Mus musculus: one gene and its partner. The protein of the gene in region 1 interacts with the protein of each later gene in a pairwise test. Links are inferred from orthologs where the notes say so. Each region holds a gene or a part of one and is shown in the gene's direction. Other genes may lie near its edges. The genes, in order: Trim69 and Fkbp1b.

Region 1 (3,816 bases):
GAAAGAAAGACAGACAGAGTTACTGAAGCATCCAGGTAATTTTGTTCTATTTTGTAGTTCAGCTACTATAGTCAATATTTGTTCATTCAACAAATACTTATTGAATGGGTCAATGGGAGACAGTTGTTAAATGATGCCAGCAATACCAATAAATAACAATAGCTACTATTACCATATGATAGGAAAATTCAGCAATGAAGAGAAATCTAAGAGAACCTGAAGAAGTCACTTGAGCTGGAGATGTACTCAGTTGGTGGAATGCTTGCCTAACAGGCATGAGACCCTGAGTTATACAGCCAGTATCACATAAACTGGGCACAATGGCACACACCTGTAATTTCAGCACTCAGATGGTAGAAGGAGGATCAGAAGTTCAAGTCATCTTTGACTTCATATCTAATTTTAGGATAGCCTGGGATACATGAGATCCACTACCAAAAAAAAATTTTTTTTGAGGACTGTAGGATCAGTAAGTTAATCAAATGAACTGTGTGAGGGAATATGAAAGAAGGGTCCTGGAGAAGAGTGTAGAAGGGCGAGAGAAAGCTACATGGAAAAGTCTAGAAACAGGATGTTAGAAAAAGTCCAATAAAGCTAGAGCACACCAAGCGAGATAATACTAAAGAGGCAGAAATGACCCAATCATGCAGGTCCTTATATGGAAGAAATGAAGTATTTTTAACTTGATCCTGTGACATGAAAAATAAAGATCTGTAAGCACTACATAGTTTCATCTCGTTTTGAAAATGCCTGATGGCTGTGTGGAAAATGGCTTAGAGAGACAATGATAAGACCACGTGGTTCGAAAACTCTTACAGGTCAAGAACAAAGGTACTTGATTAGCCTAAAGAGGCAGTGTATATACAGAGATAAACAAGAACATGTGGTGTGGGGAGGAAATTATATAGATATGGTGACGGATTAAATATGAGGAATGGATAGCGATATCAGATAGCATTTGGATTTAGAAGTCTGGAGCTCAAAAGCTGTGGGAAAGCTGTCAGCACTAGGTAGTATCTAATATATAGTAAGGGTGGGGGATATTGGTTAGAAAGTGTAGAATAAGCTTAGGACAGAACACCAACTAATTTTAATATTTAAAACTTGTTTAGAGAAAGGAGAACCAATTAGACTGGGGAATCATGGGAAAGGTGAAAGGGAAACTGGAAACACATGGGTTGGAAGAATGATGGAGGTCAGGCTACCTTAAGAGGTGGTGATGGACCGGGCAGTGGTGGTGCATACCTTTAATCCCAGCACTAGGGAGGCAGAGGAAGGCGGATTTCTGAGTTTGAGGCCAGCCTGGTCTACAGAGTGAGTTCCAGGACAGCCAGGACTACACAGAGAAACCCTGTCTTGAAAACAAAACAAAACAAAACAAAACAAAACAAAACAAAACAAAACAAAACAAAACAAAAAGAGTGTGGTGATGGTTGTCCATGGGATCTAAGCTACGTAAGACAAGCCGTGAAGATAGACGTGTAAACAGAAACAGAGAGTCAAAGATTATAAACTGATTAGTTTCTTGAAACAGGGTCCATCTCTCCATGTAGTTCTGGCAGCCCTGGAACTTACTTTGTAAACCAGGCTAGTCTCAAACTCATATAGATCAGCCTGCCTGTGTCTGCCAAGTGCTGGGATTAGAGCCAAGCACCACCATGCTCAGGCTGAACACAAACTTTGATTGAGATTCAACAGTGCTGCAGTAGGGAGCAAGTGAACTTGGAACAAAAAAGTTGTTTTGGAAATGATGCATTTTGGGAGGATGATGAAATTCTATGTGTGGTTGAAAATGAGGCACAGGCACAGGCACAGGCACAGGCACAGGCACAGGCACAGGCACAGGCACAGGCACAGGCGCACAGGCACAGGCGCACAGGCACAGGCACAGGCACAGGCACAGGCACAGGCACAGGCACAGGCACAGGCACAGGCACAGGCACAGGCACAGGCACACTCACACACAAGCTGCAAGTGCAGCAACTTTCAATTTTAGTGCTTTGTACATTGTTCATATACTGTTTCTTTTATGTGGTCCTGGCAAAAGGAGTAGTTTTGATTTTAACAGGATAGGTCTCCCTAGTCTAACAGCATCAATTGGTAGATACTAATTTGTCAGCCTAGGAAAGTATTGTTAGTATTTGTTTTAGAATGTTTGATTGACTCCACATCATTATTTAAGAGAGCACAGTTTATCATCTAATCACCAAAAAAAAAAAAAAAAACCAAAAAAACAAAAACAAAAACAAACCAACAATTGAAAACAAAGCCTCTCATCCTACACCATTAAACTAGTTGGGAAAGAAGGAATGAACCTCCCAAAGGGCTTTGTGTACTAGGATTGAATGTCGATGCTAGGCAGCCATTTGTGTGAAATTCCCCAAGGTGTGTGGTGTGGTGTAAGTCCCTCTCCCCAAATGCTAGTCTCAGTAGTAATCGTGGTGATGATTATGGAGGTTTCCAGGACAACAAGATACAACTGCAACAAAACCTTTCCTTGGAGTTTCTAAAGCTACATCAGTTTCTGCACAACAAAGAAAAGGACATTCTAAATGACCTCCGGGATGAGGGGAAACTCTTGAATGAGGAGATGGAGGTGAATCTGAACCAGATTCAGGAGCAGTGTCTTGTTGCCAAAGACATGCTGGCGACCATTCAGGCACGGATGGAACAGCAGAACTCCTTCGACTTCCTCACAGTGAGATTCTGAATCCAATTGATTATGGGGACACTTGGAAGGAGGGAAGAGAAACTGGGAGTGGGGGGTGGAAGGAAAGCAAATCATAACCAAGCTCAACCCAACCCAACCATGTCCTAACCTACCCAACCCAACCCAATTTAACCCAACCCAACCCGACTAACTGGAGCGCTTGTAGGTCCTTGGGGAGAAAAAGGAAGCCATGTTTACTTTATGATCAGTGGAAATTTTTACTTTCATCTTCCTTCAAAACGTGATAGGACAATTTCACTAATAATGCTACATGGATCAGTTCTTTCTTACTTCCCCATATAGACCACAGAAGCTTTATTTTTCAAAAAATATGTCTCTTATAGTGTTTGTAGAGTTTGGGCCTTGCAGAAATTATAAACTGAAATATATCTAAAAAGCTTTTTGTCAAACTTTTGCTACCTGAAGTCTCACTTCTAGAGATCAGATGATTGGCGATCACTCCAGCACTCAGAAGTCTAGTTACCCTTCCCCCTCAGATCGTTTCTGATCTTTTCTTGGCGGAGTATTTGGAAGCACTCACTTCTCAAAGAGTTGATCTTAACTATGGGCTTCCTGGCTCTTCTCTTGTTTCCTATGAGAGCTGGAATTATAGAAAATCAGAAGGTTACCATGTGAGAGGTCAGTTTATGCTGGGTTAGCCTGGGATGCTGCTTAGCAAAGTCTGTAGAGGATGAAATGTTGTTGGCGATGGCCTGAGGACCATCTGTACAGGAAGCCAGTATTGATGATCAAACCTGGATGGCTTTCAGTATAACCAGAGAAGTTCCTAGAGATGATGAACAGGCATCTGACTTCTCTATTTCTTCTTTTCTCTTCTAGGACATCACAAAGCTCATAGAGAGGCAAGTGTTTCTTCATGGTTCTCTCTACCCTCCTTCTTCTACCCCTGGAGAATGTCTAAAACTAAACTGTTTGTGTGTCCCTTACAGCATGGAGAAAGGAATGAAGACAATTGTACCTAGACAGCTCATCGCCAAAAAGCTGAGCCTAGGCCGCTTCAAAGGTCCTATCCAGTATATCATCTGGAAGGAAATGCAGGCTATTCTCTCTCCAGGTATAGTGGGAAGGAGCTATTGAGTCCTATG
Region 2 (4,301 bases), on another chromosome or scaffold:
CAGCCTCGTAGGCCTGCCCAAGTAGCAGATCTGTTCTACCCCGATCTCAAAGTACCTGCCCAAGGCCATAACCAGTAGGGGGGTGAGGGTCAGGGTTGGAGGGTGGGGTGTCTTAAGCTTTTTTGTTTGTTTGTTTGCCTTAAGCCCTGACGACTCTAGGGCACACACACGGGTTTTTTTCTGATCCTAACGTGCACAGTACCGTAAACCAGCTTTTCTGAGCACCAACTTTAGTCCTTGTATCCTGGCAAGCTAGTATCTGCGAGCTAGCCACTTGGAAGAGTGGAGATGGAGAAACTGAGGAAAATGCGTCAAGTTCCAGTTCTGGGCCTTTGAATAAATAGGTCCTTCTCCCATACTCACCTCCCATTGGCTCTTGTCAGAAACAAATTCAGATCTGTGCAACGGGTGTAGAAAAGATGGGGGTGGGGGGCATTTCTTAAAGTCTCCTTCAGCCTTCAAGCAAATGTTTTCTCCTCCCAATGTATCTTCCTAGGGGCCATGGACGTAACCTCTGTTAGCTTAGCGTGAGTGAACAGGCCCTGGCTTCCCTGGATTCAAGTCCCAGGACCAAGGAAGCGGAATTCGGATTGGGGAAGGACAAAAGTATCTTTTTAGATCCTGGTTTGGTTTGGGTAGAGGTAAAAGAATTCATTCATTCCTTCTATAGCATTCACCATTCAGGCTGTCGCTGTATCTTCAGCACAGAGCTGATCCTCCTTTAATTCAGTTGGAATCCCCAGGGAGCAGTCCTTTACCTTGAAAGGTGAGACCTCCAATACATATACCTGCTGTAAAACTTTGAGGAATGATGAATGTGGTCTTAAGGTGGTTGAGGAAAATTCGTCAATAATTGGTTTCTTCCCTTCGCCGGCTCTGCTCCAATAGATTCGGGAAGCCTAACCCGGGTAGGTATCAGTCTCGGGTGCTTCCGTTTTACTCTGAACCCCACGGCACTGAGCACACGTATTTAAAGAGTTAGTTTAATTACCGACTTTCTCCTAGTCTGTAGGATTGAGTGGACTCCCTGGGGCTTTGCACCCTGTAGGTGCTAAATAAATATACACTGAGTGGATAGATGTGTGGATGTGCTAGTGCCGGCACGCCTCGCTCACCCTGCCTCCCCTTTCAGCCAGTGGGTTAATGGTGGTTAGTCTGGCCAGGATCCGGAGCAGCCACGTCAGGGTCGCTTCCCTCGGGCTCCGCCCCGGCCGACCCCACCTTGTCGCACAGCTCCACCCCGCCGCCCCCTTCCCGGCGGCCCCTCCCCGCGCAGGTCCTGACTCCAGCCGCACCTCCTCCGGCTCTGCAGTGGCGGCAAGAAGGCGAGCGGGAGTGCCTGCGGGGTCCGCGCCAGAGCGGAGCCGGGGTCGGGGCAGCCGCGAGGACCCCCTTGGAGGCGGGGCCTGTGGGACCGTGATGGGCGTGGAGATCGAGACCATCTCCCCAGGAGACGGTACCGGGCGGCTGGGCCCGGGAGGAGGAGGGGTCCCGGGGCGGAGTCCGCGGGCTGGGATCTGATTCCGAGGTGGCTCCGGGGACCTGAAGCGGGGAGAGGGTCAAAGATGCGGGCGACAGGAGGAGACCTCCTTCCCCGATTCTTGTGGGTTTCAGAGGACAACGCACCATCCCATTCTGCGCCCGCTCACCTTGGGGAGTGAAGGCGGCCACCTTAGGGCAAGGGGGTTATGTCCAGCCACTGTCCTAGGCTGCGGCTGCTATCTCCTGAGCTGCAACCTCTCGATTAACCGCTGCTACTGACTTCCCAGGTTTGAATTTCTGTTCCGTTTTTCCTGTTCGGTTCCAGGGATGATCTCGCTTTGGGGGTTCCTGCTGTACAGAGAAACCCCTCCTATTGCACCACACCTCCCCGCCCCTCTTGTCTGGAGGCCCCCAGGGCTGGGCAGTGGTTAGTTGTGGAGAGAGCCAATTTGGGAGCCTGCCACTCCTTTGGCTGCTTCTGCTTCCTATTTCACCCTCCCGGTCCTACTCACCCTTCCTGGTCATCTGCCCTCTACCATGCCCTCCTCAGTCAAAACCCAGCCTTCGGACCTGCTGCTTGATCCTCCTGGGGGGTCCATGGTGCCGGGTCAGCCAGGTCAAAACAACTCGCGTTCCATAATTTGGTTCATCGCCCCACCCCACCCCCTCCTCCCAGTCTATCTATCTCTGGGTTCCCTGTCTCACCAAGTTTCCTCAACTATTTAGAAAACTGGGTGTATTCAACATATTCAAGGAGTAGCTATTTCTTAAGCAAAATTTAATCCAGACCAAAAGCCACCCCCAAGGTCCAGAGTGTTTAACAAGCAAACTTGCTGTTGGATATTATTGGCATGCTCCTTCGCAGGGAGTTAAAGGGCTTCTTGGTTACAAACCGAGGGCTTCCTGGAAGTACCCGATACTGCCCAGATCACTCCTTGCAGATACACGTTTCTTCCCAGGCCTTGTCACCCACACAGCCTCTGAGCTGTCTCCCCATCTTCGTTCTCCCCGCCTTCCATTTGACTTCCGTTCTCAGTCCCCTCATTTTTCTCACAGGTCCCCTAAAATGCAGAGCTTTAAGGGCCCCTCCCTCAGGAAGAAAATCATTAAAAGACTCTTCCCCCTACTTCTGCAAGCAGCTGCCCTCTTGGTGATTGCTAGGGCGGGAGGGATCCACACTGGCACTTCCTCTTTCGATACTTACTATCCATGCATCCACAACCAACTTCACCAAGCCACTTGTGAGTTGTTAAACAAACCACTCATTTAGCAGATATTTATGGAACGTGTACACTGTGTGCTGGACCTAGGGTTACAGGATGGAACCAATGGGCTCTCACTGTGACTGGACTCTAGGACCCTAAGGATTTGTGTGTTTCCTGGTGGAACCCTTGTGCTTGCTAGGCACCTGCTGTACATGAGCTACATCCCAACTCTGGATTCCAGGTTTCGAGCATGTCTTACAACTAATTCTATTTCCCAGGTCCCTTTACTTCTCCAGACAGACGCCCACCCATCTTTTAACAGCCAATTTAACTGTTTTCTGTGGGGCTTTCTCTGGCTTCCTTTGGTAGGCTCCTACAGTCCACTAACCGCTGACTGTGTTGTTATGTTCCCAAGCTCCTAATCCAGTCTCATAGCTTTCTATTCCACCCAGTTTGTTTATCCAGGGTTGGCTCTGCATCTGCCTCTGTGCAGTAAAAACTTGCATGTCTAATGGGCAGCTCAAGATTGCCACCCTCACAAATCTGTTCCTTTCCAGTTTTCTCATCTCTCAGAACAGCTCTACCACCTTCCGGTTACCCAAACCCTAATCCTTTCCCACCATTCAATGGTGAGATGGGGAGTGGGCTCCTTCCTCTCATCCACTTGCATGCCCTTGTCAGCCCTGCTTCCAAAACGTATCTCTAATCTATTTCACTCTCTTCTCTGCTAATTCATGCAACCATTGATTTCTTGTCTAGACTATAGCAACAGATGTCTAACCATCCATCCCACACTCGGGAGCTAGAGTGATCTTATAAAATCTTAATTCAGATTAGGTCATTTCCATGCTTTTAAACCCATCAGTGGTTTCCAATTGCATTTAGTATGGGACCCATCTCTGCACGCTGCGTGGTGCATCACTGTCATGTTCCTCTCCTCCATCTCACCCTCTTCCTTCCTATTCTGAAAGTGCACCAATCTTTTCCTGCTTCATGGTCTTTTGAGTTGGTTCCTTCTTAAGCAGCAGCTCAAACCTCATCTTCTTCAAAATGCCTTCCTGGCTCACCCTTTCTGAAATTGCCAGCTCTCTGTGTCTCTCTGAAATTCATCAGTGTTCATTTTCTTTAAAGGATTTATCACCATCTGTAATGATCATATTTATGTGAGCATTGTCTCCTTCCATTAGAATGTAAACCAGAGAAATGGCTCAGTGGCTAAGAGCTCTAGCTATGCATGAAGACTTGAGCCTGAATCTCCTCACTCATCCAAAAAAGCTAGGTGTGACATACACACACACACACCCCACTCCATTGCACCCCACATGACCATCCCATGTACACAAAAGAAAGAAGGTAGACCCTAGAAGAGCAGGGCTCCTGTCTTTATTGTTCTCCGATGTATCTCTGATATGAGGGCACAGGCCTGGTCATTATTGATTTCTTGTTAATGATATTCATCTTTGATGTAATCATGACTCTATAGCAATCTGAGATTTAGGTTTGTGCTTCTCTTCTTCACGGGTTCATATATTACTCTCTGTCTCTGGTCATCTGACACACAGTAGGCTATTCATGATTCTGGTCTAGCACGTAGTAGGCTATTCCTGAACACTT

What was found.
Region 2: the proteins of Trim69 (region 1) and Fkbp1b interact in binary tests that used the Homo sapiens proteins (3 or more experiments, as listed by UniProt). The two-hybrid records come from large-scale screens. The link is inferred for Mus musculus from reciprocal best matches to the Homo sapiens genes TRIM69 and FKBP1B.

The regions. Positions count from the first base shown.
Region 1 is NC_000068.7:122,170,690-122,174,505, forward strand, and holds part of Trim69 (E3 ubiquitin-protein ligase TRIM69), read left to right. Parts: intron 1-2,456; exon of another isoform or gene 2,457-2,464; coding exon 2,465-2,698; intron 2,699-3,550; coding exon 3,551-3,573; intron 3,574-3,660; coding exon 3,661-3,785; intron 3,786-3,816.
Region 2 is NC_000078.6:4,838,554-4,842,854, reverse strand, and holds the start of Fkbp1b (peptidyl-prolyl cis-trans isomerase FKBP1B), read left to right. Parts: upstream 1-1,281; 5' UTR 1,282-1,419; coding exon 1,420-1,456; intron 1,457-1,614; exon of another isoform or gene 1,615-1,769; intron 1,770-4,301. UniProt on the Homo sapiens protein: Has the potential to contribute to the immunosuppressive and toxic effects of FK506 and rapamycin. PPIases accelerate the folding of proteins. It catalyzes the cis-trans isomerization of proline imidic peptide bonds in oligopeptides.